Linked DNA regions of Rattus norvegicus. The protein of the gene in region 5 purifies or fractionates together with the protein of the main gene of each other region. This does not show direct contact. Links are inferred from orthologs where the notes say so. Each region holds a gene or a part of one and is shown on either strand. Other genes may lie near its edges. The genes, in order: Vapb, Timm50, Slc39a7, Acsl3, Erbb2, Hsp90b1 and Lrpprc.

Region 1 (4,168 bases), on a different chromosome or scaffold from region 5:
TCAGAAAGCCCAGTCACAAGATTTCACAGTATGACAAACCAGACAGTGTGGCAAAACACAGAACGGAGACCGAGGGAAATGTGTTTCATTCAAAAGCACAAGGCATATAATTGAGGAGTGGGTGACGATGATGAACTGCAGCCCTTCAACTTCAAGACAGCAGAACACAAATGTCATAAAAGCTAGGCTTTCATAAAGCATTACACGCATTAAAAAGTTAAAGCACTGAAGCAGCAGTAACAGAACACACACGGAGAGAACAGATTGAGAGGAAAAACCAATCTTGAAGAGCAAGAAATGAGAGGCAAAGAAACAGTACATCCAATGGGAGAAACAACATAAGGTGGCAGAAATAAATCTGGGTACAACAGCAAATATAATAAGTATAAATGGACTAGATGCACAAGCTAAAAGACAGAGACTACCCCTTGAAAACTTTTACTGGGAAAACGAGCTCAGGTATATAGAACATGGGAAATTCATGAACAACATGGATATTCCTGCCATATAGAGCCATATTTACCCCATATACGAATGTCTGATGAGGATGCTATTAGGGTCTGTTTTACATAGTATATGTTTACACAATGAAATACTAGTCACACGCTAATAAGAGCATACAGGGCTTATTTTGGGCATTAGACTGAGCTAGGCTCCCAGACACTTTTAATGAGATTTATGTGTGTAACTAATTTATTCTCTCAGTGAGGTCCTAGCAAGGTCTGAAGCGGGTCGTTTTCTGGTTATTGTATTTCTGAATATTTCTTGCATAAACAAATAATGCTATCAGCAAACGGTTCGGTGTAGTGCTCTGTGGTTTGGTAAACACTGAATGCAGAGTAGCTTTTATTTATGACAGTTACTGAAAGCATTCAGCAGAGTGGCACGAAATAAGCAAACAGTAATTGCCAGTTTATTATATTTTATAATTGTTATTTATGAACTGTCACAAGGCCTGGCACATATCACTAACCCGTAAGTAAACATTGTGTTTGTAAGAATAATAAGTACTTTATTATATTCAGGCTCAGTAGAGCCTGGCACCACACGTGCGTGAAGAAAGTGGAAGTTTATTCTTGTTAATTATTATTATTAAGTAAAGCACTTAACAACAGTTTTCCCCACAGGCGCTTACTGAACAGTCTAGCTGGAGACCGCCCCCTCCTCCCAAGCCTCGAGAGACCACGCCCACTGCCACGGAGGCTCCGCCCTCAACCTCCCGGCTGCGCCTGCGCAGTGGCCCAGAAAACCGTGCGCATGCGCAGTCTTCATTTTGCCGCTGTAGCCTCTGGCCACTGCCGGAGCCCGGCAGCTGCTACGTGCGTGCGTACGTGCGTGCGTCGGGGCGTGCGTACATACGTGCGTGCGTGCCGTGAGCTCGCCCGGCACCGCGGCCTCGCCCTCCGCCCCTGTGCCCCGCCACCCAGGCCGCCGCCCCCCGCCCGCGCCGCCGCCCCCGACGGGGAGGACCATGGCGAAGGTGGAGCAGGTCCTGAGTCTCGAGCCACAGCACGAGCTCAAGTTCCGAGGTAAGCGGGCGGCCGACCCGGGAGCTGTCACTCAGCGGCCGGCTCCGGAAGGGACGCGCCCTGAGGGCAGGACACTGTCCGCCTGAGGCCGGCATGCACCAGGCGCCTAATGCATGCATGTGGAGTCAGTGCATGGAATCGGCCTGAGTACTCTTCTCCTCAGCTCCCCCGGGGCAGCGAGCTGTCGGGGGTCTACAGCCCACGAAGTCTGTGCATACTTTCTATGTAGTACACTTTTTGTATACATTTGTGTGTAAAGGTGAACTTTATACACGCAGGCGTGCACAGGTGACTAAAAAAGTGCATTTATACAGATGTGTATGCATGGCATATGCATGTTATAGATAGTGTGTATACATACATGTACTATATATGTGTATATACACACAGAAGTGTGTGTGTATGTGTGTATTCATATTTCTATTCACTAATTTTAAGGTCCAGAAAGCAACAGGGTCCGTGCCCAGCCTGTTCCTTGCTTCGTTGCATATTTTGAGTCATGAGACTGGGCACTGGAGGCCTATAAAGCTCAACAACCTAAGCAAGATGGCGGCAGGCGGCTGGAAGTACTGGGAAGGGAAGGATGAAGTTGGACTCAATGGAGGTGTGCTTCAGGTTGGCCAATGTGATCCTCTGTGTATTGCCTACATGTAGGCCACAGCTGGTGCTCACGGTTTTGGGTGGCTGAGAGTCACCCGTTTCTCTGCCGTTGGGAAGTAGCGTAGGATCACAGCTCTTACCTAGTCGTCGCCTTTGAGTCCTGATTTCGGACTTTCAAACACTTTTAGCCATCGTACCCACAAACTCTTGGGAAATGCTTCATAGCTGTGAATGTCCACCTTGCCTTCCAGGTTCAGAGTGTGCAAAGACACTTACAAGGAAGCAAAGGCCCTCCGGTTAACCTAGAAACACAAACCTCAGGCCGCCTGACCCTGGGCTGTAGAGATGGTTCACCATTTAAAAGCTCCTGCTGCCCAGGCTGAGGACTTTAGTTCAATCCCTGAGACTCACATGGTCAAAAGAGAGAACTGACTTCTGCATGTTGTCCTCTTACCCCCAGCAGGTGCAGCCTAGCAGGCTTGTGAACAAACACACAGACACGTACACAACAGATTTTAAATAAAAGCATCCGTTTAAATGTGGATCCTCCGCACCAGAGGTCCCCCCCTCCCCCACTTACCAGGAATCCCACTTGGTAGTGACAGGAAAGTGGTGTGCCTTTGGTAGCAACTGTTTGGGAATTTGAATTCTGATCCTTTTCCAGGTTATGGACCTGTGCATGACCGCACAGCCGTGAACCGCCGCCATCTGGTTATCACTGTACCTCTGCATAATTGTTTTGTGTTTGCATCCCCTCATGTCTACAGAGTGTCCATCTCTGTGGTGGGGGGTGCACATGCACGGAAGCTCTTCGGCGTGTGTTTTTATTTATTGTGTGTTTATGTATCGTGTGTGTGAGGGGTATGTGTGTCACAGTGAGTGTGTGGAGGTCAGAAGACAATTCGCAGGCGTCTGGCATAGCAGTGCTTTTGTCTGCCGACTGTCGCACTGGCCTTCTCTTTGAGATCTGTAGTTCTCACCGTCTGAGGTCCACTCAGGCTGACATGATCCTTCTGTCTCTGCTTCCCCGTTGCTGGTATTGCTGGTTTAACACATCTTTGGATAGCCTGTTGGGATCAGATGGACTTTGTGCTATAGGGTTCTGTGGGCCTGTAGGCTGATGTAAGTCTGGAGCATGTTGAGATCAGTGGTGATGTTCAGAAAAGTCAAGTAGGTTGAATCCACTTTTACGTAGACATATTTTCAATTTAGGGAGGGGCTGTCATGTCAGTTGGTTTTCTCGGCTGCTGTTCTCCGACACCCACCTTTCCTTTGCATCCAGGGAAAAAGGGGGCAGATGAGGTGACCCAGACTAGAGAGTGTGGGGAAACAACTTCCCAGGGAATGGGAGGTGACAGAGTATCATTGAATCTGGTTACAAAGGTCCAGTGGCAGAAAGGGGGAAGTGGGTGGGAGTGTCCGGGCCTGGCCAGTACTGTGCATGGAGGTCTATAAGCCGGAGTACTTGCTTCTTGGAGATGCTGTGGTTAGGAGTTGCGGGTCAGAGTAGAGGGCCAGACTGGCTAGTACACAGTGTCAGGTCTACACACCCACTGGGTGTAATGACTTGACTGATCTTGATACCCCAAGCCCCCATACACTACTGCCTCTGAAGGAGGAGAGTGTTCCAGCTCTTCCAATTCAGTGTGTGTGACCTAGGGTGCCATTTGCCCTCTTACCTTTGGGTCGGTGGTGGTGCTAAGAAGGTGACACTTCTCCAGCCAACATCACTGGTTGCCAAGGAGATAGTCCAGGGGTTTAGTGTCCGAATGTCTTCACTCTGGAAGAGTCGTCCAGGGATGTGTGGAAACTTGATGGGGGTTGGGGGGTGTTTCTTGTGAGTGCCAGCCATGTATTAGTGTGGAGCCTTTGCCTTGCAGATGAAGTCTCACTAAGCTTTCAGGCCAGTATGGAGCGAGTGGTTTTCCTGCCATAACTCCCTGGTGCTGGGATTGTATGTGGCACCACCAATCCCAACTGGGGTGTTCAGTTTCTTGGTTTGTTTGCTTTAAGCTGAGTGCTGAGGTGGTAAAATGAGA
Region 2 (4,151 bases), on a different chromosome or scaffold from region 5:
AAGATGCAATCCACAGACCACAGGAAGCTCAAGAAGAAGGATGACCAAGCTCAAAAAGGATGCTCCCACTCCTTCTTAAAAGGGGGAAAAATATCCATAGGAGGGGATGTGGAGGTAAAGTTTTGAGCAGAGACTGAAGGAATGGCCATTCAGAGCCTGCCCCACATGTGGCCCATATATATATACAGCCACCAAAACTAGGTAAGATTGATGAAGCTAAAAAGTGCATGCTGACAGGGACCAGATATAGATCTCTCCTGAGAGACACATCCAGAGCATGTCCAATATAGAGGTCAATGCTAGCAGCAAACCACTGAACTAAGAACAGGACCCCCTTTGGGGGAATTAGAGGAAGGATTGAAAGAGCTGAAGGAGTTTGCAACCCCATAAAAACAACAACGCCAACCAACCAGAGCTTCCAGGGACTAAACCACTACCCAAAGGCTCTACATGGACTGACCCAGGGCTCCAACTGCATATGTAGCAGAGAATAGTCTTGTTGGGGCACCAGTGGAAAGGAAGCCCTTGGTCCTGCCAAGGTTGGACCACCAGTGCAGGGGAATGTCAGAGGGGGGACCCATATAGGGGAGGGGAAGAGGATGGGGGCTTATGAACAGGAAACCGGGAAAGGGAATAACATTTGAAATGTAAATGAAGAAATGTATCTAATTTTAAAAATTAAAAAAAAAAAAAGAGTACTCTGCTCTTCCAGAGGGCCTGACTTCAATCTTTAAAGAGATATGATGCTCTCTTCTGGCACGCAGGAGTACACGCAGACTGTGCACTCATTTAAAATGAATGAATGAACGAATGGATGAGTGAATAAATGAGTGAGTGAGTGAATGAATGAATCAATCAATAGAAAACAACGTACCCCAAGTTCACTGCTTTCTTAATCACTCTCAAACCTCAAACTAGTCAGCACGGAAAGTTGCTTTGGTTGAATCCAGATGATTGGTAGATCTCCAGTCCTTTCTAGAAACTCACGGCGGAAGGGGTAAAAAGAGACGCGAAAGGAGACCGACTCAACCTCCTAGTCCACGTGAGAAAAATTGAGGGCTGCCAGTTAGCCCATTTTTTGGGCCTCTGTCCATATCTGACAATGGAAGGTGAATGCCAAAGTCCGAGCGACTGGATGGTGGCCGTCCTTAGGGTCCCAGGGGGCGTGGTACCAGATGACAGTATTCCAATTTCGCGCTCGGGGATAGCCTGAAAAAAACCGACTAGGAGAGCACCTAAGGTACTCCGCCCACTCCTTTTTGTCCCTGTCGGGCTCCTGTCCACACGCACCACCTCAGCGATCCCATTGGTCGTAGTCCTCTCCTGGGCGGGAGAGAGGGAGCGAGTGGGCGGGGCCGCGTGGCGTCAGCGCAAGATGGCGGCCTCGGCAGCTCTCTTCTCGCGCTTGCGGAGCGGGCTCCGGGTAGGCGCGCGGGGACTGTGCACGCGGCTGGCGCCGCCACCTCCCCGCACTCCAGAACAGGTAAGTGGCGCCGGAACCTGCGCCCCGTTATGGGGCTCTTTTCTAAAGTTTTGGGCGTATGGTCGCAACCCGGCGAGTCTGGAGTACCGCACCTCAGGGTGCTGAGTGGGACGGAGCCGGTGTTTTCGATGTTTCCATGCTTCCTGTGTGGACCGTAGTTGCTCCCCAAGGGCTGGATTATGGAAGCCCCCAAGTGCATCCCGTGGAGCCCAAGTCTCAACCACGTGGGTGCCGGGAGAGGTCACCTGTTCTGTTATCAGTGACCATTCAGGTGATACTTGACGGGGGAGGGGCCCAGGACGCCAGAGACCCGGGCTCTGTCCCAGTGACATTTCATTCGCAACAGTGAGCGAGAGAAACAGGAAGGATCCAGTCTGCCGTCCGTTTCGACCCAGCCATTCTGACCTCCAAGTTCATGACTTTCCGTTCCCTAAGTCCAGACAAGGGATAGCCTCTCCTCGCCCCTGCTTCCTTCCCTTTCAAACCCTCCATCTTGGGCTCTGGGTGTCCGAATATCTCAGCTGTTCGTCCTGTCCCATGGGTGTCCTCTGTCCTCTTAGTTTTGACATCCCCAGCTAACACGTACATACACACACACACACCCATCCCTTATTCTCCTTGCCCTACTCTTCCTGGCTCCAGACTTTGCAGCCCTATTGGTTCCAAGACCTTGGGCAATCTGACCTTTCAGCTCTTGAACCCCTGTGATTCTCTAGACAGTTTAGTTTTTTTTTTTTTTGTTTTGTTTTGTTTTGTTTTGTTTTGTTTTTTTTCGGAGCTGGGGACGAACCCAGGGCCTTTCGCATGCTAGGCAAGCGCTCTACCGCTGAGCTAAATCCCCAACCCGACAGTTTAGTTTTAACCCTCTGAGGGGATCAACCTCTGAACTTACAGTTTTCTGCTCTGGGTGTCCACTTCCTGGCTCTTGATCTTGAGTCTACTTGGACCAAATTTAGTGTCAGAGTATTCTGTTATTTTTCTTTCTATGACTTCTCCTCCTTCCCCCTCCACTCAGGTTACTGAGATCGCCAACCGTGGGGGCTCCAAGACCCAAGGGCCACAGCATCAGCCAGGCTCAGAGGGTCCCAGCTATGCCAAAAAAGTTGCACTGTGGATTGCTGGTTTGCTTGGGGCTGGTGGGACTGTCAGCATCGTCTACATTTTTGGTAAGAGACATAACCCTCAATTGTTGGCCCCAGATATCTACTGTGAAACTCCCTTTTCTTTCTTCATGCTGAGTTCATTCCCTGACTCCTCCCTCAATAAGGCCATCAACTAGGATACTCACCTTGAAATTCAAGAAGTCCCCTTCTATCCCTATCCTCTAGTCGTTCCCTGTACCTGAATTCAGGAACTAAGGGGACGGCGGGAAGAATAGGACAAGGGAGAAATAACTATCATGGTGCCTGAAGCTATGTGTTCATCTCAGCAGAAAAAACTAACCCTTGTGTATCCTTCTTAGCCTCAGCCCACTTGGAATCCTTGCCTCCACCTCTTCCTCCTTTAATCCAGGAGCTGTGCCTCTAGTAATATTCCCTTTGAGTGGGGAGTTCAGACCCCCTATTCTCCCCCTCCAGACCGAGCAGACTAGGCTCCAGTTTCTTTATTTGTCTCTGTCCCTCCCTTGCAGGAAACAACCCCGTGGATGAAAATGGCACCAAGGTGAGGAGGAGTGTGTTCTGTAAGGGTGTGGACAGGTTCCTTTCCGTTGGTTCAAGCTCTTCTGTAGTCTGGAGGGAGCATCTCCCTTCTCCTGGGACCTTTGTCTACTTAGCCTTGAGCTCCCAGAGTGGATGTGCTGGTGTCCTGCCTCTGCCATTTCAAACCTTTCCTTTTTCCTCCCCCAGATTCCTGATGAATTCGACAGCGGTGAGTGATTAAACAAAGATCTGGGGTTCACACCTCTGCTATTTTATTTGTTTAGAGTGCTATTGCCCTGTCCTGTACACCAACCCCTCCTCCGCCTATGGAGGTGCAACAGTTAGATGGCTCAGGGAAGGGATGACAAAAGCCCCAGCTCCCTTTCCTGGCCCCTCCGCCCTGGAGCAGATGGTCAGGAACAGATGGGGGCAGGGAGCGTCATCAGTCCATCCCAGACACAGGCTTTCTTTGCCTTAGATCTAGACATCTGCAGCCCCTGACCCCACTCTTTTATAACACCCTCTTTTTTTTTAATCCCTAAGTCCCTACTCCAACACATGCGTCCTTTCCAAAACAATGTCTATGTCTATGCCTCTGCCCCTGCTTCTCCACCCTTCCACCCAGACTGAGCAGAGTTTGTCAAGGAACTTCTGATAAGTTAGATGGGGAGTAGTTGTAGTTTTTACCTGACCATTCCCTAGGTGGGTCAGAAAGGGCTGTGTTTGGGTGGAAGGTGTGCAGACAGCATGGACAGGCACTGATGGCTTTGTTTACACACGGCAGATGGGTGAGTCTGCCCTTTTAACTGGACAGGGGTCAGCCCCCTTGTTTTATTTATTTTTTTTCCTGTTTGTTTTTGAGACAGGGTATCTCTATGTAGCCCTGGCTGTCCTGGAGCTCACTGTGTAGACCAGGCTAATCCCAAGCCCACACAGCTCCACTTGTCTCTTCTCCCAGTTGTTGGGATTAAAGGCCTGAACTACCATGCCGGGCTCCCCACTGGTTTAAACAAATGATCTAAACTGGG
Region 3 (4,454 bases), on a different chromosome or scaffold from region 5:
ACCCAAAGATGGGGCGTGGGGGTGGGGGTAAGAAGCTGAGAACAAGGAATTGAAAGTGTCACAACTTCTCACCTGAGGGCTGCTGACAGGCCCGGAGAATCCTGGGGGAGCCGGAGGGGGCAAGCCAGGAGACCCCATGGAAGAACTGATGACTGGGAAGGGGGAGCCCAGTGGAGGGGGTGGCATTGGAGGTGGAGGTGCTGAAGGGGTGTGAGGTGGACCGGGAGGAGAAGAGGGAGGGATCCCCTGGGAAAGGGGATTTGGGGAGGAGCTGTCTGGGCTTCGGGAATCTGAGAAGTGGGTACATAAGACAGACACACAGACAGGAGAGACAAGAAGAGAAAGTTGAGTCTCTCGATCACCCAAATGGACACTTTTAATTCTCCCCGATCCACCACAGCCCACAACCCCAGAGTTCAGAAACACCAAGTCATCAAACAATTTCACTCCTAAAAGCTGGGAGAGGAGGCGGTTGACAAAAAAAAAAAAAAAAAAAAAGGGAGGCAGTTCAGGCGGAGCCTATTGGGTCATCCCAAGCTGACCTCGGGAGGGGGGTGTCAAGAAGCACGTGGAGGTGCACCAGTGAACCCCTCGTTCCCAACTTAGAACATTCGGGGCGAAGAGTATGGAAGATATACCCAGTCCCAGAGCGCAAGCTCAGCCTTCCAAAGCCCAGAGTCCTCCAGCCCAAGGGGAATGGTGTCCTTCCCACGCCCGAGACCGCACACACTGGCCCCGCGGCGCCGCACCTGGAGGGCGGAAGCTCCCCCGCCGCGCCCCGCCCCGGGGGAGGGCGCTGGGCCTCGGGATGGAGAGGGCGCGTGTTTACAAACAAGGGGGCGGGAGAGCGGGGAGGGGGCGCGAGGGGCGCCGGCCCGGGCCCACGGGACACTCACCCCGCCCGCTGTCGCCCATCCCGTCCCGGCCAGCCTCCCCCGGCTCCGGCTCCAGGGTTTGCTGCTCTCCGGCCGCCGCCGCCGCGGGATCCAGCCAGGGCCGCCGCCGCCGCCACCGGGACGCGACCCCACAATGCATCTCTTTTCTCACCCCCACCGGCCCACACTGCCCCGCGGCATGCCGCGGCGGGAGGAAGGGCGGACGAGTGGCCCAAGACATGACGCCGGGGCCGAGGGTGGGGGAGCCGGAGAGGCGCCAGGGACGCGCAGGGGGCAGAGCGGGGGACTCAGGGAGCGCGAGGAAGCCGCCGAGGAGGGCGGGCTCCGGCCTGTGGCAGCGCGACTCAAGCGCCGCGCTCGGCTCGGCACCGAGGTGACAGCACCGACGCGGCCGCCATCTTTGTATAGACGGGAAGTCTCGCCTCGAGCTCCCGCCCCCTCGCCGAGATGGAAACGGAGGAGGCGGTCTCCGCCGGCCTGTCAGCCACTTCGCCCGCCGTCCCCTCAGATAACCCCCGGGTGCGCGCATGCGCCCTGGGGCCGTGGCCGCGCCGTCCTCGGGGCGCCGCCATGTTGGTAAAGGTAGCGGGGCGCAGGCAAGAGGGAACTTCCGGATCTCGCGGGAGCTTGAGGCGCGAGTGCCACGTCCCAGCAAACCGAGAACGGAGAGGATCCCGGAGCCGGTGAGAACTCCCTGCTGCTCCCTTACGGCGCTTTCCATGCTTTTACCCTAACTACTGAGCCATAGAGACGAGGGCCCAGAGAGACCGTAAAGTTGCGGATCAAAGGCTAGAGCGGTGTTGGGGGGTGGGAGGTTTGGGGGAGCTGCATCCAGGAAGGGTGTCGGGGATGAAGAGAACTGGCCTTGGGAACAATGTAAGAGGGGAGCAAGTGGTATAGAGTGGACGGAAGGGCTTCAAGGGAAGCGGATCCCGCATAGGTAGAGAGTCAAGTAGACTCGTCTCTGTTCCTCTGGTCAGCGTGATGGCCAGGGTCCTGCGGGACCCCCACTGGGTGGCTGTGGGACTGCTGACCTGGGCAGCTTTGGGGCTGCTGGTAGCCGGACACGAGGGTCATGGTGACCTGCACAGAGACGTGGAAGAGGACTTCCATGGCCACAGCCACGGACACTCACATGAAGATTTCCACCATGGCCACAGCCATGGCCATGGCCACACTCATGAGAGCATCTGGCATGGGCATGCCCACAGCCACGACCATGGACATTCACGGGAGGATGTGCACCATGGCCATAGCCATGGCCACTCCCACGATAGCCTCCACCACAGAGGACATGGACATAGCCATGGAGCCTCTAGGGAGGCTGGGGCTCCAGGCATCAAGCACCACCTGGACACTGTCACCCTCTGGGCCTATGTGAGTCCCCGGGGGACGTGGGGAAGAGGGACTGGTGCTTAATTGTTGGAAGACTCCATATTTGCTTTCTGACTCTCCTCCAGGCACTGGGGGCCACAGTGCTAATCTCCGCGGCTCCCTTCTTCGTGCTCTTCCTCATCCCTGTGGAGTCAAACTCTCCCAGGCATCGTTCTCTGCTCCAGATCCTGCTCAGTTTTGCTTCTGGGGGGCTCCTGGGAGATGCCTTCCTCCACCTCATCCCTCACGCCTTGGGTAAGTGACATGTGGGCTCCATCTCAGAAACACAAGCTGTTTTGTTCGTCCTCTTTAATGATCCCAGGTCTCCCAATAGTTCTCAAGTACACATCCCCCATCTGTCCTTTTTCCCTTCTTCCTGTAGAACCTCATTCGCACGATACTCCGGCACAGCCTGGCCACGGACACTCCCACAGCGGTGAGAAAGAGTTAGGGACTGGGACGCTGGGAGAGGCCTGCCTCTTCCCTTCCTTCAGCACTTATATCTGAGTCTGCATCGCCCTCATGCCTCATTCCTCCATCCCAGGCCAGGGCCCCATTCTCTCTGTGGGGCTGTGGGTTCTCAGTGGGATTGTCGCCTTTCTTGTGGTGGAGAAGTTTGTGAGACACGTGAAAGGAGGGCACGGACACGCGCACGCGCACGGACACGGACACTCGCACGGAGACAGCCACGCGCACGGACACAGCCACGCACACGGGGATAGGCATGGTGAGCCCACCCCCATTGCCTGCTACACAACACGCTCAGGCTCATCCGCTGGAGCAGGACACGGAAAAAGCTCTGTTCCCCACTCTGATCAACTCCTGTCCCCCTCAGAGTGTCCTTCAAAGGGAAAGCCCAGTTCAGAGGATGAAAAGGAAGCAGGGGGCTTGCGGAAAAGGAGAGGAGGAGACACGGGGCCCAGAGATGGCCCTCTGAAACCTCAGAACCCTGAAGAAGAAAAAACAGGCTCAGGTAAGGGATGAGTTGATGGGCTTACTACTCTGAGTTTCTCAGAGTGTTTGCTGTGGGTGACGGTGGGGCTCTAGGAAATGGAGTGTGCATGCGTGTGTGAGCATGCACGAAACAGCTCGAGGACTGGTGGTGATGACACCTTCAGTCATTTTTGTCCTTTGTCTATTTACAAAAAGACCTGCGTGTGTCTGGGTACCTGAATCTGGCTGCTGACTTGGCACACAACTTCACAGACGGGCTGGCCATTGGTGCTTCCTTCCGTGGGGGCCGAGGGCTTGGGATCCTGACCACGATGACAGTCCTGCTGCATGAAGTGCCTCATGAGGTTGGGGACTTTGCCATCTTGGTCCAGTCTGGCTGCAGCAAGAAACAGGTTGGTGCTGACAGCCTGCCATTGGTTCCTCACGAGCTACACTACCATCCAGCCTTTTAGAACCCGGGAAAGTTGCTTCTCTATCTCCGAATCTCAACCCTCCCATAAGTACAGCCTGGAAAGGGCCTCTGATGGCCTACAGTTTCTCAGGAGATGTCTGTTCTAGTACCCCCTCCTCGACCCTTTATTTTTACCAGGCTGGTATGGGGCTGGGGGCCTTGGGTGTGGTCCTGAGGCAGTCTCATTGCTGACATGTTAACTAGCCAGGGAGCCCCAGGCAGCTGCTTGCCTCTGCTTCCTGTGCTGGTGCCTGGGGCCCAGACTCCTGCCCTGGTGTTTGTGCAGCAGATACTACAATGGGTCCATCTCCCCACCTCACTTTCTGTCTCCTATCCTTACATGGACACCACACAGCTGTACCCCACTGGTCCCCCAACCTTTAGTTGTTGATGATCCTGTCTTTCTCCTTTCTGCCCTCCAGGCGATGCGTCTGCAACTCTTGACTGCAATTGGAGCATTGGCAGGCACAGCCTGTGCCCTTCTCACTGAGGGAGGGGCAGTGGGCAGTGAGGTGGCTGGTGGTGCAGGTCCCGGCTGGGTTCTGCCATTCACTGCAGGTGGATTCATCTATGTGGCAACAGTGTCCGTGCTACCTGAGCTACTGAGAGAGGCATCCCCGTTACAGTCTCTCTTGGAGGTGCTGGGGCTGCTGGGGGGCGTTGCCATGATGGTACTGATTGCCCATCTTGAGTGAGGGGTGGGTGACCTGTCCTACCCCTAACTCCAAAATAAAGGCAGTTGGGACCCTGGCCAGTGCATTGTCAGGAGGCTCAGCCTG
Region 4 (3,658 bases), on a different chromosome or scaffold from region 5:
CAGAGAGCTTCCATGACCTTTTGTGGGCACACATCTTTTAATAAGAGTTCATTCAACCTCTGCTCTGGCCCACCACCCAACAGAGGGGTAGTAGAAAAGAAAAGTTATTGGGATATGGGGGAAGTGGACCTGTTCAGCAGTAGTTGTCTGGGGGTGAACTCGATCTTCTTTCTCAGTGGTTCAGTCCTGTAGCAAATACGACTCAGCAGCTGCAGAGCAGTTCTAGGCAGGCAGACACCACCCATGAACTGGCAGCCATAGTCCAGGTCTCAGCAGGCAGACACCAGGCACAAACCAGAAGCTGTAGTTGAATCCTGGAAAAACCACAAGGCTTGTCCACAGGCCTGAGGTGAGGCCACTGAAGTGGCAAGCTGCATCAGGAACCTCACAAGCAGTTCTCTGGCGAGTTTCTCTCAGTGGTGGCCTTACCACAGTTGAGCTCAACAATGCTATGTAAGGTAAACATGCACGTCATTAGGAAGAATAGTGAGGCAGAGCAAACCAAATCAAAGTTCAGTACTTGTTCCTTTTGTCTAATGTGGGGTCATATTTATTATATACAACTTCATCACAGGTCCTTCCATGTGTTCGCTATATCAAATATCCTTTCACCTGTGTCTGCTTCAGGAAAACGCTCTTTCACGTGTTTGCTTTTAAGTAAGACAGCCTTTCATCTGTGTGCCCCACCCTGTAAAACATATTTGACATAACTAACTTTCCAAAGATGCTAGACGTTTCCACCTTAACCTTGGCTCTTATCGGCCTTTCTTTCAGAGAGGAAGATGTATACATTGGATATTTGCCCCTGGCACATGTTCTAGAATTAAGCGCTGAGCTTGTGTGTCTTTCTCATGGATGCCGGATTGGCTACTCTTCACCACAGACATTAGCAGATCAGGTGAGTGACACATGTGTGACGTGAAATGCTGTGTGTTTTTAACATGTTTTCTTCATCAGCTTACATGGTATCTTCAATTCCTTTTAAATTCTTGCCCTGTATGTCTAGAATATAAATAAATACACTGACAGTAAATATATGCCTTTGAACTAAGAATGCCATTATGTGTTAAAGATCTTTATGTAGATTATTTTTTTCTGTTCTGTAGTCTTCAAAAATAAAGAAAGGAAGCAAAGGAGACACATCCGTTCTGAAGCCCACGCTGATGGCGGCTGTGCCGGTAAGAACTGCCACAGGTGATGGGTGGTGACATCATTTAAGACAAAGTGCTTGGTGTGCAATCTGAGGACCTAGTCCAATGCCTAGAACCCGTGTAAAGGTGGAAGGAGAGATTCAAGTCCATATCATTAATTGTCCTTCAACCTTCACATAGGCACCAGGGCACAGCCATGCGTTGTCCTACAACACACATAAAATAATTAGAAGTATTAATTACATGGGTCTGATTTAAATGTGAAGCTTGCTCATACAGTTAATGAACTCATTTATGCACCTAGGAAATCATGGATCGGATCTACAAAAATGTCATGAATAAAGTGAATGAAATGAGTGCTTTTCAACGAAACTTGTTTATTTTGGCATATAATTATAAGATGGAGCAGATTTCAAAAGGGTGTAGTACCCCACTGTGTGACCGGTGAGTAAAGCCTCTGTGAGTAAAACTATGGCAGCAGAGTTCCCATCAACAGCCCAGGGAAGTGGAGCAGTACACGTGGTACATAGACATTAAGATGGGTGTGTATGCAGCGCAGGCTGGAACCCTGCAGTTGGGAAGTAAGGGGAGGAGATTCAGAGTTCAAAGCTGGAGGCTGGAGAGCTGGTTCACTTTTACTGTAAAAGCATGGGTGGAGGGAGAGCGATAGTCGGACACCAGTGCCTCCTGGCCTCAGTGTCGCCTTCCCCAATGAGAGTTTCCCTGGCTAGAACTCACCTGCCTCTGCCTTCTGCGTGCTAAGATTAGAGTCTGGATAGCTTAGGTGGCAAAGAGATTGAAGGGGCACGTGCCACCACATGGTCAGCCTCAACACAGCTTCTCAAATGGTTGCCCTTGAGTCTTAATCCCTTTCATAGTGCTTAACAAGTTTTCATTTCCATGGTTCTGGACATTAAATTAAACCTAAGCACTACCTGCTTTTGACTTATAAGCAATGTCTTTACTAGTGTTTTACAGAAACATATCAAATAGATATTTTTATTTCTCATAATTTACCATATAATTTTTTTTACCATAGCTGTAATAAAAACTTCAGAACTTACATTAGACTTTAAAGAGCTTGTTATATATAAATATGCATAAATTTCTAGTGAATAAATAAAAGCAGAAATTAGCTTTTTACAAATTATGTGAAGATGTGGTATTCATAAATATGTATGGTAATGAGTTCTCTGATCATAAAAAGGGATTTCTGATACAACAAACTTTCATCCTCTGTAAAACCAGGGGTTCTGTGGGTCTCAGAAGGGAAGCCCGTGCAGGGCAGGTAGCTGGGGTCCCGGGTCTTGCCCTGTACCACAGTGGCAGGGGCAGCAGCAGTCGGCAATGATAGGTGGCAGCAGTGGGAGGGACGACAGGGATGTGTGCCTGGTTTGCTAGCTGTGTCTAAGTTCCAATGACGAATGCTTCCCGAGAGAAAACTTTCTCCAAAGTGTTAACAGCTCAGTAAAACAACCACTCTCAGACGATTCTCAGTGAAATAACTCATGTACTTTACTCCATGTGGATAGGGACTTTATAAACATTGAGGAGTGGGGTGGGATCCAGGGCAAGATACTTCCTACTGGCTCAGTTTGAGAAGCTAGTGATGCTCTATTAGCAGGGGGAAGGAGGACTTGAGGTGTTTTCCCCACGTGACTGATTTATGGGATCCAGAGCAGGTGGAGTGTGGCAGGGAGCAGGCCCCACTCGTACCTTTCTCAATTCTGAGTTCATGCGTTTGGGCCCACTCAGCACTGCCAGTTCTGTGTTGTTTTATAGTCCACTTGCCCACAGGAAACAATTGTATATGATTTACTATCACATGGAAATTAATTAAGAGTACATGGCATTTTCTTTGCTGATAGAACTACTCACACTTAAGACAGACATATGGACCCAAGAGAAGCTCCTCAATGGGCTGTATCACATCGATTATATATAATCTCACAGGCCATATAAGAAAACTGAGGAGGCACCACAACTAAGGCAGCTTATAAAAGAAAGCATTCAATTGGACACATTTAGTTTCAGAGGGCTTAGGCCATCATGGTGGGGAGCACTGGCTGGCCTGCAAGGTGGCTGAGAGCTTACATCCTGATCCATAGGCAGCAGACAGAGTGGGAATGGTGCTGGTGTTAGAAACCTCAGAGCCTGCCTCTTGCGGCATCCCTCCTCCTAAAGGACTATACCTACTAATCCTTCCAACAACTGGGAACCAAACATTCAAGTGTGTGAACTTGTTGAGCCCATTCATTCAAACTACCACACTGTTTTAAACGTCTTGAATTTTCTAATGATATTTCAGCTTTGTTTTCCGGAATGTCCGAAGGCTGCTGGGTGGAAATATTCGCGTTTTATTGTGCGGTGGTGCTCCACTTTCTGCAACGACACAGCGATTCATGAATATCTGCTTCTGTTGTCCCGTTGGCCAGGGGTATGGACTCACAGAATCTACTGGGGCTGGAACAATTACAGAAGGTAGGTGCTGTCATCTGAGAACCAGG
Region 5 (4,221 bases):
TCTACCTGAAACTGTGTTTCAGTTCAATGAAAGTAGATTAAGTGAGGGCCACCCTTCATTTCCCACCCCCAAAGACAACTCCGATTGCATTTTGACCAGCACAGGTGTGTCCTTGACTGGAACATTCCAAGTACCATCACCAGATTTAGCAAATAAAAAGGAAGGTTGCAATGAAGTTCAATTTGAATTTCAGATAAACGACGGTAATTCATCCGTGTAAACATGTCTCCTGCCATGTGTTCTTGAAATTTCCAACAAAAGGCATGCCTTTCTTCCCGTTCCTCACCTGTCACCAGGCTTCAGGAGTGGCATCTAGGTATTTCAGGGTTAGATTGGCAGGAGAAAAGGACAGGGACAGAGGAGACGCTGAATGAAACTGAGTACTGTGTGAAGTCATAGAGAAGCAGGCATGGGGCTGGAGAAATGGCTTAGCAGTTCAGAACATGCACTGCACTTGCAGAGGACCCAAGTCCTGTTTCCAGCACCAAAGAGGGCAGCACCCGACTGCCTGTACCTCCAGCTTCGGGGATTCCCACTTCCTCTTCTGACCTACGTGGACAATTGCACTTATGTGACACCCCCCCAACCCACATATGAATACACATAATTTGAAATAAAAATAAGTCTTAAAAAGAGAAAAAAATAAAAAAAAGAAACAGGCGAAGCTGTTCTTCCGAGGACCGAGATCCCCAACCCCATGTGACTGTCTCCTCTTAGTTCTGTGGGTTCCTCTAAGATCAGGCTGGAGATACCCAAAAGTATAGAATTGATATCCCAGAGCGTCCTGGAAGTCACCAGTTAACACAACACATCCTCTTCCCAGGCTGTCGATTTTACCTGAGGATGTGGCGGCAGACCCAGTATTTGATATCAAGAGGGTGATGCAAACGTCCCAGGAGTGTTCAAGATAAAACCGGAGACTGCAAAGACGGGTAAAGGGATGCTGTGCTTTTAGGAAGTGGATGAGAACTGCAAGCAAGCAAGCAAGCAAGCAAGCAAGCAAGCAAGCAAGCAAGCAAGCAAGCTAGGCGTCGGGGCACAGGGCACGGCGCACCCAGGCCTGCGCCGGGAGGGAGAAAGTGAAGCTGGGAGCAGCCACTCCCAGTCTTGCTGGAATGCAGTTGGAGGGGTGGGGGGGCGAGCCGAGAGCGCGCGGCTCCCAATCACGGGCGGAGGAGGAGGTGGAGGAGGAGGGCTGCTCGAGGAAGTGCGGCGTGAAGTTGTGGAGCTGAGATTGCCCGCCGCTGGGGACCCGGAGCCCAGGAGCGCCCCTTCCCAGGCGGCCCCTTCCGGCGCCGCGCCTGTGCCTGCCCTCGCCGCGCCCCGCGCCCGCAGCCTGGTCCAGCCTGAGCCATGGGGCCGGAGCCGCAATGATCATCATGGAGCTGGCGGCCTGGTGCCGCTGGGGGTTCCTCCTCGCCCTCCTGCCCCCCGGAATCGCGGGCACCCAAGGTGGGTCTTGGCTTGGGAAGGGCTCTGGCCGCTGTGGCTGCGCCCACGGGCGGCCGGAGCCGCGGAGCTCCGAGAGCTCTACGGCCGGGAGGTCCGGGGCGATGGGGCGATTCCGGCTGCCGGCACCGCGGCCCGGAGGAGATCGGAGCAGCTGGGGATGGGACAGCCACTCGGAGGACCACACTGGAAGTCCAGACCGGCCCCTTCTGGCCACACCGGAGCTTCCCGGACTCCAGGAGACTCCGGGAACTCCTCGGCAAAGTTCTCTGAAACTGGTCCGAAAGTTTTCCTCCGGAGGGTGTGTGAAGCGCTGTGCGTGCGTGCGCCTGTTTCCCCCTTTCAGAGCCCCTTCACGCTTTCTCAGCTCCTCCAGTTGGCAGCCTCCGCCTCCGGACCGGACTGGGGAGGATGCCTTCGGGGTCCCTTCTGCCCCGCCCCTCCCCCTCCCCACCCCCTTCGGCCCTTTGGGTTTAGTAAGTTACTCCAGCTTCCAGCGGGGTCGCCGTGGAGGGGGCGGTGGGGGAAAGTAACCCGTCCTGTGGAGCAGGGAGGACCGAGTGGCGGGTCCGCGTTGAGTTGCTTCTCTGACGGTGTCTGGGATTTGGGGGAGCAGGGGAGGAGGGGCAGGCATTTGTTTTGAACAGTTTTTCTTTCTCTTTCTTCTGTGCTGGGGATGGGACACCCCCACCCTCCATCCCGGTCTCGCGCGTTAGGCAAGCCCTCTACCACTGGGCTGCATACTCCACAGACCTGTTCTGAACAAATTTCCATAGAGCCAGCTTAAGTACTGTGTGCTTTGGGATTCTGGGAAAGCTCGGCTCTTGAAGGGTGGTCTTGTGTTTTTCCGGCTTCCGTACAGTAAAGTCGGAAGGGTTCCTGGACATTTGCGGGGAGGGCATCGAAAAGAAGTCAGGTCAGCTAAGGGTGGACAGAGAGGTTGTTTTCTTGCCTCTGTCTGTGTGTTGGGGGCTGGGAGGGTGACCCGGCAGTGTGTATACCGACCCATATGTCCAGTTCTACCATAAGCGTAAAAGCCGATAGTCACTCCTTGTGGGTCAGCTCTGCCAGGCTCCGTGGGTGGCGGTTTGCACGCATTCCTTCTTCTGTACTGAGAACAACTCCACAGTGGAAACATTAGTAGCTTTCTCATTGTCCCAGGGTGAAAACCTGGGCTGGGGAAATGAAGTATCATAGAATAAGCGGTGGACCCCAGGCAGTGTGACCAGCCACAGGATATGAGATATGAGTCACAGAAATGCGAGTCTACCAGGACAGTGGGGACACGGCTTCCCTAATCAGTGGGCTGTACTGAAGATGCAGAAAACAGGTTCTGGGAGCAGTAGATGTTTTCCAGAGGCCAGGGAGCCTGGAGGCTGGTGGGGTATCACCATCTATGCCCCGACCTCCGGCCCCCATTCTATCAGTACACCCTGTGCTTTCTGTGGGATACCCCTGTATGTCTGAGGTGTTTATGATGGTTATGTGTTCGTGCGTCCGTCCGGGTTTCTGTTGCCAAATAGCAATCTCTCTGCTGACCTGGGGACACGGGATGAACTCTGCCCTCTCTAGGAACTCCCTCAAGGTTCTGGGCTCTATCTGTTGTAAACACTGGGAGATGCCCCTTGCCTTGTTGGGATTGAAGTCTCCTTTCAGTTTCTCAGGAGGCCAGCCTTCCTTCTGACTTTCCGTTGGGAAGAGTGAGGCTAGGCCCTTGCCCTGAGTTGGGTCTGCTGCTGGCCAGGACTGAACTGCTCTGTGCTGTGGAGCAGGAGGGGGAGGGGTCTGCTCGCCAGACAGAGCGGAGGGCTGCTGAGACGTCATCCCTTCAGATGCACTGCTAGGTGCAGAGGGGTAAGACGGTTTGTCTTGCCAGGAATGGTTTTAAAAAAAAAAAAGAAAGAAAAAAAAAAAAAAGGCAGTGCACCATCCGCTGCCTCGAGCTCCGGGTTCTACCTCAGAACCGGTCTTGGGCAGGTGTATAGGGGAAAGGAGATATGGAGAGGCCCAGAGAGTCAAGATGTTGCTGGGCTTCTATGTACTTAAGGTTTTGCAAAACGCAGTAAACACAGGTCTTTACCTTTGCAAGGCTTATATCTATTTCAATTCTAGTATGATTCTCTCCGAGCCCCTCCTACCTTTTGCTATACAGGGACGAAAGAGATTCCTCTTGCAGAGGAGGACCTGGGGGTCTCTCAGGTCCCAGTTCTCACACGGTGGCTCACGACCACCGGTAACTCCACTACTAGGAGCTTTGATGCTTAATTCTGACCTCCACAGGCGTGATGTGTGTAGTGTTCACACAAGGGCAGGCAAAATACTCACGCACATCCAATAAAACAAACCCTAACAAGAGAAAAGAAAAATATACCGCATTTCAAAACCAAATGGGAAGGTCTTTCTCTTTTCTCCTGTAACTACCCAGATCCTTCTAAGTGCGTCTCTCCCGTTCTAAAAACTTCTGTGTGCTTCCTACACAGCAGATCCCTTTTCGTAGATGGCATTGTGCCCTCTCTGCGCTGTCCTGTGGAGCAGGTGTGTACAGAAAAAAGCTCTACTTCAGAGAAGTGAAGAGACGTATCGGGGGGGCCTTTAGAGGTGGTCAGAGTTGTAGTCATCAAACAGGAATGGACTAGGAAAGCCTCATGGCAGCCGGGCAGTCACACAGAAAAGTGTTCTTCTGTTACTCAGTGTGGCCTTCCTAACCCCTATCCCAGGCTGGAGAAGGTACCCCGAGATGGGGTCCTGGGGTGCCTTCCTGGCTGCAGAGTT
Region 6 (4,125 bases), on a different chromosome or scaffold from region 5:
AGCCATAAGGTCCCGTCAGTGATTACTGCCATTGTAGACAAAAGAATTTGTACTATAAAACTAGGTATGACTTCCAATAAACCTAATAAAAAACAGGCCAAGTCAGTTTGACTCACAGGTAGCCTGTGGACTTCCATCCAAACCCACGGTGAGCAGAAGCTCCTTTCACACCAGAATAACCTACTGATGCGGTGCCTGGTTTCTGAGTATCAGTTTTTAAAAGGAAACAGTTTTTTAAGTCACCTTAATCTTGACCGTCAACTCCTCATTTCCAGCAAGTGCATTTTCATCAGTTAGTGAGATGAGCCTTATCTTGTCTAAAGCATCAGAAGCATTTGAAATCAGTTCTCTCAGGAAAATCTAAAAGGAAGAAGCCAGATTTAATGAAGTGGGACTAACCTCCAGGCACAGTAAGGTGTTGGTTCTTATGGCCAACTCCTCTCCTTTCTCCTCAGAAGCATGAAAAGGCACTCTTTAAGAACCAAGCCTTTTCTAGTGCCAGGGATGGCTTTACTCTCTTCATAAAAAAGGAGGCGTGACTCTATAAAGCTCTGTGGCAAGTACAAGGGATATCTGAAGCGGTGGGAACAGGACTACCTCTCCCACCCCCTCAGTGGTACAGCTGTGTGACTCCACCTCAGCCAGCACGTCATAACCTTATTCTGAGCTGAAAGGAAAGCTGGGGACATTGTCTACTCCCTTCCCACCCCAATATGTACCAGTAGCAATTCTCATTCATAATCTACCACAAAAGGAGCAGAGCTGCTGTCCTAACCGTGTGATGCTTACCTCTTTATTTTTATACAAAGAATTGATGATAAGTTTCATCATCCTGTTAACTTCAGCTTGGAAGGCGAACTTTTCCGATTTTTCTCTAAGTTCCCTTATTTGTGATGCATTTAAACCATCCAACTGAATAGCTTCTTCCTCTCTAAGGAAATCAAAATAGATAAGCAAATACTTAGTTTCATTTTTCTAAGTCTCTACTCAGGATACACCTTTGTAAAAGACCACTAACATACCAGCTCACTCTTACACAGAAATGGGTGCTATACTTAATGCTGGGCTGCAAAGATTTACAAAAATTCCCAGAAATACACACCCAGCTCCCATCTACTGAAAAGCAAGTCATGATTCGTGTATGCCTATGCAGTGAACACTTTGATCAAAATTTAAAACACACCTCACCCAGTGAAAAGCCCCTTTCTTAAAAAAAGTTACAGGCATAAGTTCTATTTTTCATAGTACTAACTTCACGAAAATAAAAACCAATCTGAAGTCTTCTGTCAGGTCTTAGAGGCCTACAACTTCGTCATCGGTTTTCTGATTTTGGATGCCGAGGCTTATTCCTAGCACCTCCTTCAACTTTCCTTCTTCTTTTTTTTTTTCTTCCCCCCGGAGCTGGGGACCAAACCCAGGGCCTTGCAAGCGCTCTACCACTGAGCTAAATCCCCAACCCCACAACTTTCCTTCTTGAATCAGTAGTCACTCCTAGGAGCAGACTGACCTAGGAGAGTTCTGCATGCAGATAAATGGGCCCTCCTAAGAACTCCCTGGTTATTTTGTATCATTAGCAACATTTCACACACTGCACATTGTAATCTCAATGTCTGGAGAACAAAAACAGCCAATGTGTCCCACTAACTTGCAGAGTTTATCAGCATAGTTTCAAATGCACTGACCTCTGCACAACTTCATCGTCTGTCCGTGAGCCTTCTCTACTTTTACCCAGGTCCTCTTCTACCGTGCCATCCACATCGACTTCATCGTCAGCTCTCACAAACCCTGAGGAGAAAGGTTAAAACTCTCAATACTACTGCTTCCTCTCCTTCCCATATACAGACAGACCAAGCAGGGCAAGAGGGAGGGTTAACACAATTCAGCGACGTGATGGAAAAATGATGTATTGACGTTAGTAACCAATGTCAAGGCATGTTTGCGCGCTGAAGTTTAAATGTGAATGCTCAAGACTCCCCCGTTGACTCTGGAAGGCCAGGCAGCCATCACTCATGTCTATCGTTCCTTAGACACAAGGCAGTGAGTGATACAGGCTCCCGTCTACACCCACACGTGTTGCGCACAGCCGAGAGCAGGCCTCCACACAGGCCAAGCCAAAACTTGGGCCTCGCTTAACTATCACAGGTCGGAATGCAAACAGGGTTTGTGCAACTTCTGTTGAGGGGAACTGAAATCCGGCCCAAAGGGGAAGACATGTCAAGGACCGCGCTTGAAGCACATCGGAATCGGATACTGGGCCACCGCCACCAAGCTGGCCCGAGGGCCCACGCTCGCGAGTCGGGCGTTAGAAAACAGAAACACGCTCTGGAAGAACCAGAGGGCAGGGGCTAGGGGTCCTCAGGCTCGGGTGGCCAAAGGTCGGACCTGATGACAAAAGTCCTTAGGGAGGGGCCCCAGCAAGGTTTCCCCCGTGAGTAGAGTCCGAGAGGCCGCGCCCCGCCAGCGAGACTTCGGGGAGCGCTCCAGCTCCATCCGCAGAGTATTTAAATACCGCGGCTCCAAGTCTCCTCTTCCCAGAGGCCTCAGGGCAAGGCATCATCACCCGAGTCCCCTTCGAGGAAAGGACATAGTGCCTGGACCCTCTGTAGCCCCCGGCATCCCCCTCCCAGGCTCAACGCCCCAAGAACGTTCGAGAAGCGGCCGCGCAGGAAGGTGGGGGGGCGCCCGATCACTCACCGAAGGTCAGCAGGACGCAGCAGAGGCCCAGCACCCACAGGACCCTCATGGTGCGTGGCCGGAGAGTCGCAAGTCCTTTTCGGTCGCAGGAGCCGCCTCCACCCCCCCAACCCGGAGTCTCAGGTCCTCACACCTCCAGCAGCGCGGTCCGCCCACTAAACCGCGCGCAGGTCGGGCCGCTTTTCACCCCACAGCTTGCGGGCGGGGGACGGGAAACACGAACCCACCAATCGTGCCTCACCACGCACTCTCTGCACCCAATGGGGACGCATGGGGGGGACCGCAACTCGCCAATCGGAACTGTCCAGGTGCGGTGCCCGATGCCCGAAGCGTGGCTCCTTTCGATTGGGTTTGTCCAGCAGCTTTTCTCCAATCAAATGGCTCCGCGGGCCCCTCACACACCGGGCCACCCCTTGGCCTGGGAAGCCTTGGTCTCTGAGGAAAACCGTCCAATGAATGTAGGCGCATAGCACGTCTGTCCTTTCCTAGAGGTCCCGGGGAACCACTTCCGGCTCTTAGAGAACGTTTGTTCCGTGACTAGGGGAAACCGTAGCCAAGACAATGTGGTTTATACCCTTTTCCCGTCTACGACGTGGGTCACGTTACGAGCCCTTTCAGCGCTACGTTCGCCGTCACCTTTCTTTTGGGCGTTTCTTTTCGCAAAAGAGAAATTTGTGAGGGGTTGAATATCCGGAGTGCGTTTGGATGGTGGTGAGAAACTACAGTTTCCGGCATGCAACGCGCTAGTCTCAAGAATGCTGGGAATTGTAGTCTCTGGCGTCTAAGCCAGTTGCGTAGTTTGGCCCTTGCGCTTACTCTGGTCTTGTGTCCGCGGGAAATGTCTCCTGAGTGATTTAGATTTCCACCTAATTCGGATTGCAGAATAGATCTATGCTTGTTCTAGGACTCTAATGCACACAATTTTCAGAGGCGGCTTTGGAAAGTCGCCCCGCGTGGCCCTAGTCTCGCCGTGTCAGAGGGCCAGCTACGGATTCTGGGCTCCGCCTCTGGCTGATGGTAGCACGCCGGTTTCCAGGTCGGCTTTCTAGCGCGTCATTCAGGTTTTCACTTGGCGTTGCGCTGCCCGCAACTCCAGACCTCTCTGGTTTGATTTGCAGTAGAGGGTGGTGGGGGTTCACCAACCCCCAAGGAAACTCCAAGAACCCAAGTTCCTTTGACATCCCCATTAAATATCAAGGAATGACCTGGCAATCTAGAGTCCCTCTTGTGATTCGGCTGGAGAGCACGGTGGTGAAGTCCAGGCTAGCATAGAACAGGAAAGGACATTTGCAGATACTTGAAAGCAAAAGCCGCAGTGCTTGCAAAATAGCCTGGATTGTGGCTTTGTAACTTCATAGAAACACCTTTCCGCCTTCCGACAGACAGCAAGAGAGGCTCTCTGGTGAGGGAAGTCCCTAAGGCCAGCCTGTG
Region 7 (3,658 bases), on a different chromosome or scaffold from region 5:
TGTTTTCTTCTAGGTGTGCCAGAGTTGACTTAAAAGTCAGTTCTGGCTGGAGTTCAGGTCAGGATAGAGTGTTTCCTTTGCATATGGGAAGCCCTGGACTGTGGTGGTGGTGGAGGTGGTGGTGGCGGCAGTGGTGGTGGTGGTAATGTATACTATCATTTAAAGCTCCATTAACCAGGGACTGCATGGCATTGCCCTCGGCCCTCCACACATACGTTGCAGTTGTATAGCTTGGTCTTCCCGTGGGACTCCTAACAGTGGGAGCAGGGGCTGTCTCTGCTGTCGCCTGCTGCCTTTGGAACCCTTTCCTCCTACTGGGCTGCCTTTTCTAGCTCTAAGAGAAGAGGAGGTGCTAGTCTTACTGCAACTTGGTATGCCAGAGGCTGGAGAATATCTAGCCCGCCCTCTCCTGAAGAGAAACAGGTGTGATGGGGGAGTTACGGGAGGCGGGGACTAGGAGAGGAGGGAGGGGAAATGGGTAAACTGCAGCCAGGATGTAAAAAGAAGTCGTGGGTGTGCTCATCAATAGTCATCTGATTTGAGTGGCATAGAAGTCAGCAAGTTCACCTCTACTGCGCAAAAAGTTCTGCATTGTATGAATCAGTGCACGTGTTCTGAGTTATCAGTAGTTTTTGATGATTATTATAGTAATGGATAACCATAGGGGGCAATATGCATCTTCTCTGGTCTGTGGGTGATAACACCCACCTCTCCCTCCCTCTCTCTCTCTCTCTCTCACTCTCTCACACTCTCTCATTCTCTCACTCTCTCACTCTCACTCGTGCACATGATGTGCAGAGGATATCACCTTACTTGGCGATATCCCTCCCCACCCCCATAGTTTCTGATTTATTTCTGTATATATGATGGTCAGGTGTTGTGATTGTCTCTGGTCACTGGTGTAATTTCTACAACAGTATTAGTTACAGACTCTGGTTTGCATGTGACACAGCTTTTGATGCCACTTCACATACAGTCAGTTTGTGATGCAGGAAAACGGTGGCTTTGGGGACAGTGAGATCAGACCTAGGGCCTTTTGCACACTAAGCGAGTGCTCCATTACTGACTTACGCACTTAGCTCACCACCGCTGGTAAAAGGTGGTCTACAATCCAGAGAATGTGGTTATTCTGGAAGTATTTCTTGAGTTAACATTTTTAGGCATAATACTTAGTATAACAATGGCAGCTGAAAATAAGATATTTGGAGTAGATCCCCAAGAATTGCATATGTTAAAAGGTAAGATATTGAATTCACAGAAAGCCTGTCAAAATCAAAGATTTATGACAGTAATTTTTACATCTAGGGATTTTTTTTTTCTTGGTTTGTCATCAAGTACAGCATTAATTCCTATAACATGAAGCACCACTGATAACATGTTTATGAACATTCAATTGTATATTAAGCTGCATTATCAAATATTGATTTAAAGAGTTTCTTCTGGAGATATCAGTAGCTCAGATTTTTGGGGGCTTCATTAGCACGGGCCCCATCCCTGCACCGAGTAAACTGTGGTGCAGGCCTGCTAGCCCAGCAGAGGGAAAAGCAGGAAAACTACAAGTTCAAAGTTATTGTTGGTTCTTTTGGAAGTTCCAGGCCAGCCTGGACTGAATGAGTTCCTATTTCCAAAAAAAAGAAAAAAGAAAAAAGAAAAAAGATTGCTTATTCTGTAGAAACATGTATTATTCTAATTTTAGCTTATGACATCTTTAAAACTGTTTAAGCCAGAGTGCAGTTTTATTTTTGACAGTTATTACTTTAAAGACCGAGGGAAGCATTCAAACAGCGTGTTGACTCAGAGTCATGAAAGCGGGTGCCTCGGACCTAGTTATGTTCATAATGACGTAACCAAGTTATGGCCATAATAAACTTATGCCCAGACAAAACCCTGAAGGTAGTTTAGAGTTTGGAGGCTGCCTTGGCCTTTGTCTCACTCACATGAATGAGAAGAGTGCGTTATGAGCTGCCTCATTTTTCCTTCATTAAGGGAAAATAATTTTAGCTTCTTAGTTTGAGATGACTTCATGTTGAAGGTTATCAATCCACTCAGAAGCAGTGTGTGTGTTTGTGTGTGTGTGTGTGTGTGTGTGTGTGTGTGTGTATGTGTGTGTGAGAGAGAGAGATTGATTGATTGATTGATTGATTGATTGATTGATTTGCTTCAGTGTACACTTTGCTCCAGGCTTTGCAGTTTGTGTGTGGTGACTGTCGGAGCTGGTGTGGACGGGTCACACAAGCAGTGCCTGTGTAGACAGCAGTTTGCTTAGTTTATTACTAATTCTATTTCATTTCACAGAGAGCTGCTGAGCCAAGCCAGGTTGTATGCCATCGTCGCTGAAAAAAAGGATCTTCCAGAGGAGCCTGCTCCTGTGAGAAGGAGTGGCAGTCAGTTTGATTGGGCCCTAATGAGACTGGATAATTCTGTCCGGAGAACGGGCCGCATTACCAAGGGGCTTCTGCAGAAAGTCTTTGAGAGCACGTGCCGCTCAGGTATTGAGAGTTTCTCGGTAGGAAGTCGAAGCTTGTAACGGTTCCTGGAAGCTCACTGGGGAGAGCATCATTTGCTATTCAGCATCAGTTCTGATGTCAGCTGTGACTCTGATCCTGCTATGCTTCCAATTCATCCAGGCAGAATTTGAAGTAACACGAGAATATTTTGTTTAGAGTTCATTTCAGAGTCAACAAACAAAAACGTCTGTTTGCTTCCTCTGGTTTCTAGAGTTGCTCTCAGTGGTCAGCTGAGGTAGAAGACACCAGGCTTTCTCTTCTTTCTTTGTGTGGTATCAGCTTTTCCTGAGGTGACCTCAGTGAAGACTGACAGGCACCAGGTCACTTTGATCTTGGATAGTGGGACAGGAGCTGCAGACCCTTTATTCCCAGGCTTTCCCTCACATCACAACTGCAGCGAACCAACACGTATAATTTTGTGTGCAGTTGAAGAAATTCTATACACTCCCAGAGCCTGTTAGGGGTGTCCCTTTGGTATGGAGCAGAGCTTCTATGACAGTCACAGTCACATGCACTCAAGGACCAGAACCTCCCATCCACTCAGAGCTGTTCATCTGTCACAACTTTTCCATGGTCACCCTCCCCAGCCCTTCTCACCCTTTCCAGTCCTAGGCACACACAAGCTATTTTCTGCCTGCCCTCTTAGGTGCTTGCTCTGGATGGACTTATAGATAGAGCTATACAGTGCATGTTTAGTTTCTGCCCTCTTAGGCGCTTGCTCTGGATGGACTTATAGATAGAATTATACAGTGCACACTTATTTTTGTTTCGTCTTAAAGTCATTTTCAGGGACATGGAGATGAGCTTGAGTTTGATAATGATGAGTCCTTATGTGCCTTTTGTCATCTTCATGATACCGAGATGCTTAGCCTTTGGCGTGTAGCAGATACGCTTAAAAATTTGCTTTCTTTGGACTCATTAGTTTTACAGATTACGAAGTTTCATAACCTTAGGCTTCTTAAAGCAGACACTGTTAGAACTTTAAATTGTAATGTGTACTGATGATGTGGATCGGGCGGTGTTTGGGTACGGCCTTGTCTTTGTTGAGCCAGGAGGCTGTGGATAATTAAGGGATATTCTTCTTGATCTCGAAAAGCCTGAAGATTTGCAAACCACTTATAAGCTGCAGATTAAGCTTTGGCGTTGCCTCG

The links.
Region 1: the proteins of Erbb2 (region 5) and Vapb purify together in Homo sapiens (affinity purification with mass spectrometry; 3 studies listed by BioGRID and IntAct, with this or other methods). This does not show direct contact. The link is inferred for Rattus norvegicus from reciprocal best matches to the Homo sapiens genes ERBB2 and VAPB.
Region 2: the proteins of Erbb2 (region 5) and Timm50 purify together in Homo sapiens (affinity purification with mass spectrometry; 3 studies listed by BioGRID and IntAct, with this or other methods). This does not show direct contact. The link is inferred for Rattus norvegicus from reciprocal best matches to the Homo sapiens genes ERBB2 and TIMM50.
Region 3: the proteins of Erbb2 (region 5) and Slc39a7 purify together in Homo sapiens (affinity purification with mass spectrometry; 3 studies listed by BioGRID and IntAct, with this or other methods). This does not show direct contact. The link is inferred for Rattus norvegicus from reciprocal best matches to the Homo sapiens genes ERBB2 and SLC39A7.
Region 4: the proteins of Erbb2 (region 5) and Acsl3 purify together in Homo sapiens (affinity purification with mass spectrometry; 3 studies listed by BioGRID and IntAct, with this or other methods). This does not show direct contact. The link is inferred for Rattus norvegicus from reciprocal best matches to the Homo sapiens genes ERBB2 and ACSL3.
Region 6: the proteins of Erbb2 (region 5) and Hsp90b1 purify together in Homo sapiens (affinity purification with western blotting; 3 studies listed by BioGRID and IntAct, with this or other methods). This does not show direct contact. The link is inferred for Rattus norvegicus from reciprocal best matches to the Homo sapiens genes ERBB2 and HSP90B1.
Region 7: the proteins of Erbb2 (region 5) and Lrpprc purify together in Homo sapiens (affinity purification with mass spectrometry; 3 studies listed by BioGRID and IntAct, with this or other methods). This does not show direct contact. The link is inferred for Rattus norvegicus from reciprocal best matches to the Homo sapiens genes ERBB2 and LRPPRC.

The regions. Positions count from the first base shown.
Region 1 is NC_086021.1:182,952,892-182,957,059, forward strand, and holds the start of Vapb (vesicle-associated membrane protein-associated protein B), read left to right. Parts: upstream 1-1,355; 5' UTR 1,356-1,471; coding exon 1,472-1,529; intron 1,530-1,992; exon of another isoform or gene 1,993-2,075; coding exon of another isoform or gene 2,076-2,133; intron 2,134-4,168. UniProt on the Homo sapiens protein: Endoplasmic reticulum (ER)-anchored protein that mediates the formation of contact sites between the ER and endosomes via interaction with FFAT motif-containing proteins such as STARD3 or WDR44.
Region 2 is NC_086019.1:92,707,508-92,711,658, reverse strand, and holds the start of Timm50 (mitochondrial import inner membrane translocase subunit TIM50), read left to right. Parts: upstream 1-1,347; 5' UTR 1,348-1,375; coding exon 1,376-1,483; intron 1,484-2,498; coding exon 2,499-2,649; intron 2,650-3,113; coding exon 3,114-3,145; intron 3,146-3,330; coding exon 3,331-3,352; intron 3,353-4,151. UniProt on the Homo sapiens protein: Essential component of the TIM23 complex, a complex that mediates the translocation of transit peptide-containing proteins across the mitochondrial inner membrane. Has some phosphatase activity in vitro; however such activity may not be relevant in vivo.
Region 3 is NC_086038.1:4,823,544-4,827,997, forward strand, and holds the start of Slc39a7 (zinc transporter SLC39A7 precursor), read left to right. Parts: upstream 1-1,579; 5' UTR 1,580-1,880; coding exon 1,881-2,273; intron 2,274-2,356; coding exon 2,357-2,525; intron 2,526-2,652; coding exon 2,653-2,706; intron 2,707-2,814; coding exon 2,815-2,997; intron 2,998-3,105; coding exon 3,106-3,243; intron 3,244-3,419; coding exon 3,420-3,616; intron 3,617-4,097; coding exon 4,098-4,370; 3' UTR 4,371-4,454. Other genes in the region: Rxrb (retinoic acid receptor RXR-beta), read right to left, coding at 73-290, 897-1,425. UniProt on the Homo sapiens protein: Transports Zn(2+) from the endoplasmic reticulum (ER)/Golgi apparatus to the cytosol, playing an essential role in the regulation of cytosolic zinc levels.
Region 4 is NC_086027.1:87,601,466-87,605,123, forward strand, and holds part of Acsl3 (fatty acid CoA ligase Acsl3), read left to right. Parts: intron 1-774; coding exon 775-898; intron 899-1,106; coding exon 1,107-1,178; intron 1,179-1,455; coding exon 1,456-1,595; intron 1,596-3,459; coding exon 3,460-3,632; intron 3,633-3,658. UniProt on the Homo sapiens protein: Acyl-CoA synthetases (ACSL) activates long-chain fatty acids for both synthesis of cellular lipids, and degradation via beta-oxidation.
Region 5 is NC_086028.1:83,906,336-83,910,556, forward strand, and holds the start of Erbb2 (receptor tyrosine-protein kinase erbB-2 precursor), read left to right. Parts: upstream 1-1,265; 5' UTR 1,266-1,370; coding exon 1,371-1,452; intron 1,453-4,221. UniProt on the Homo sapiens protein: Protein tyrosine kinase that is part of several cell surface receptor complexes, but that apparently needs a coreceptor for ligand binding. Essential component of a neuregulin-receptor complex, although neuregulins do not interact with it alone.
Region 6 is NC_086025.1:23,009,427-23,013,551, forward strand, and holds the start of Hsp90b1 (endoplasmin precursor), read right to left. Parts: upstream 2,868-4,125; 5' UTR 2,744-2,867; coding exon 2,695-2,743; intron 1,786-2,694; coding exon 1,683-1,785; intron 932-1,682; coding exon 790-931; intron 361-789; coding exon 244-360; intron 1-243.
Region 7 is NC_086024.1:15,622,540-15,626,197, forward strand, and holds part of Lrpprc (leucine-rich PPR motif-containing protein, mitochondrial precursor), read left to right. Parts: intron 1-2,295; coding exon 2,296-2,489; intron 2,490-3,658. UniProt on the Homo sapiens protein: May play a role in RNA metabolism in both nuclei and mitochondria. In the nucleus binds to HNRPA1-associated poly(A) mRNAs and is part of nmRNP complexes at late stages of mRNA maturation which are possibly associated with nuclear mRNA export.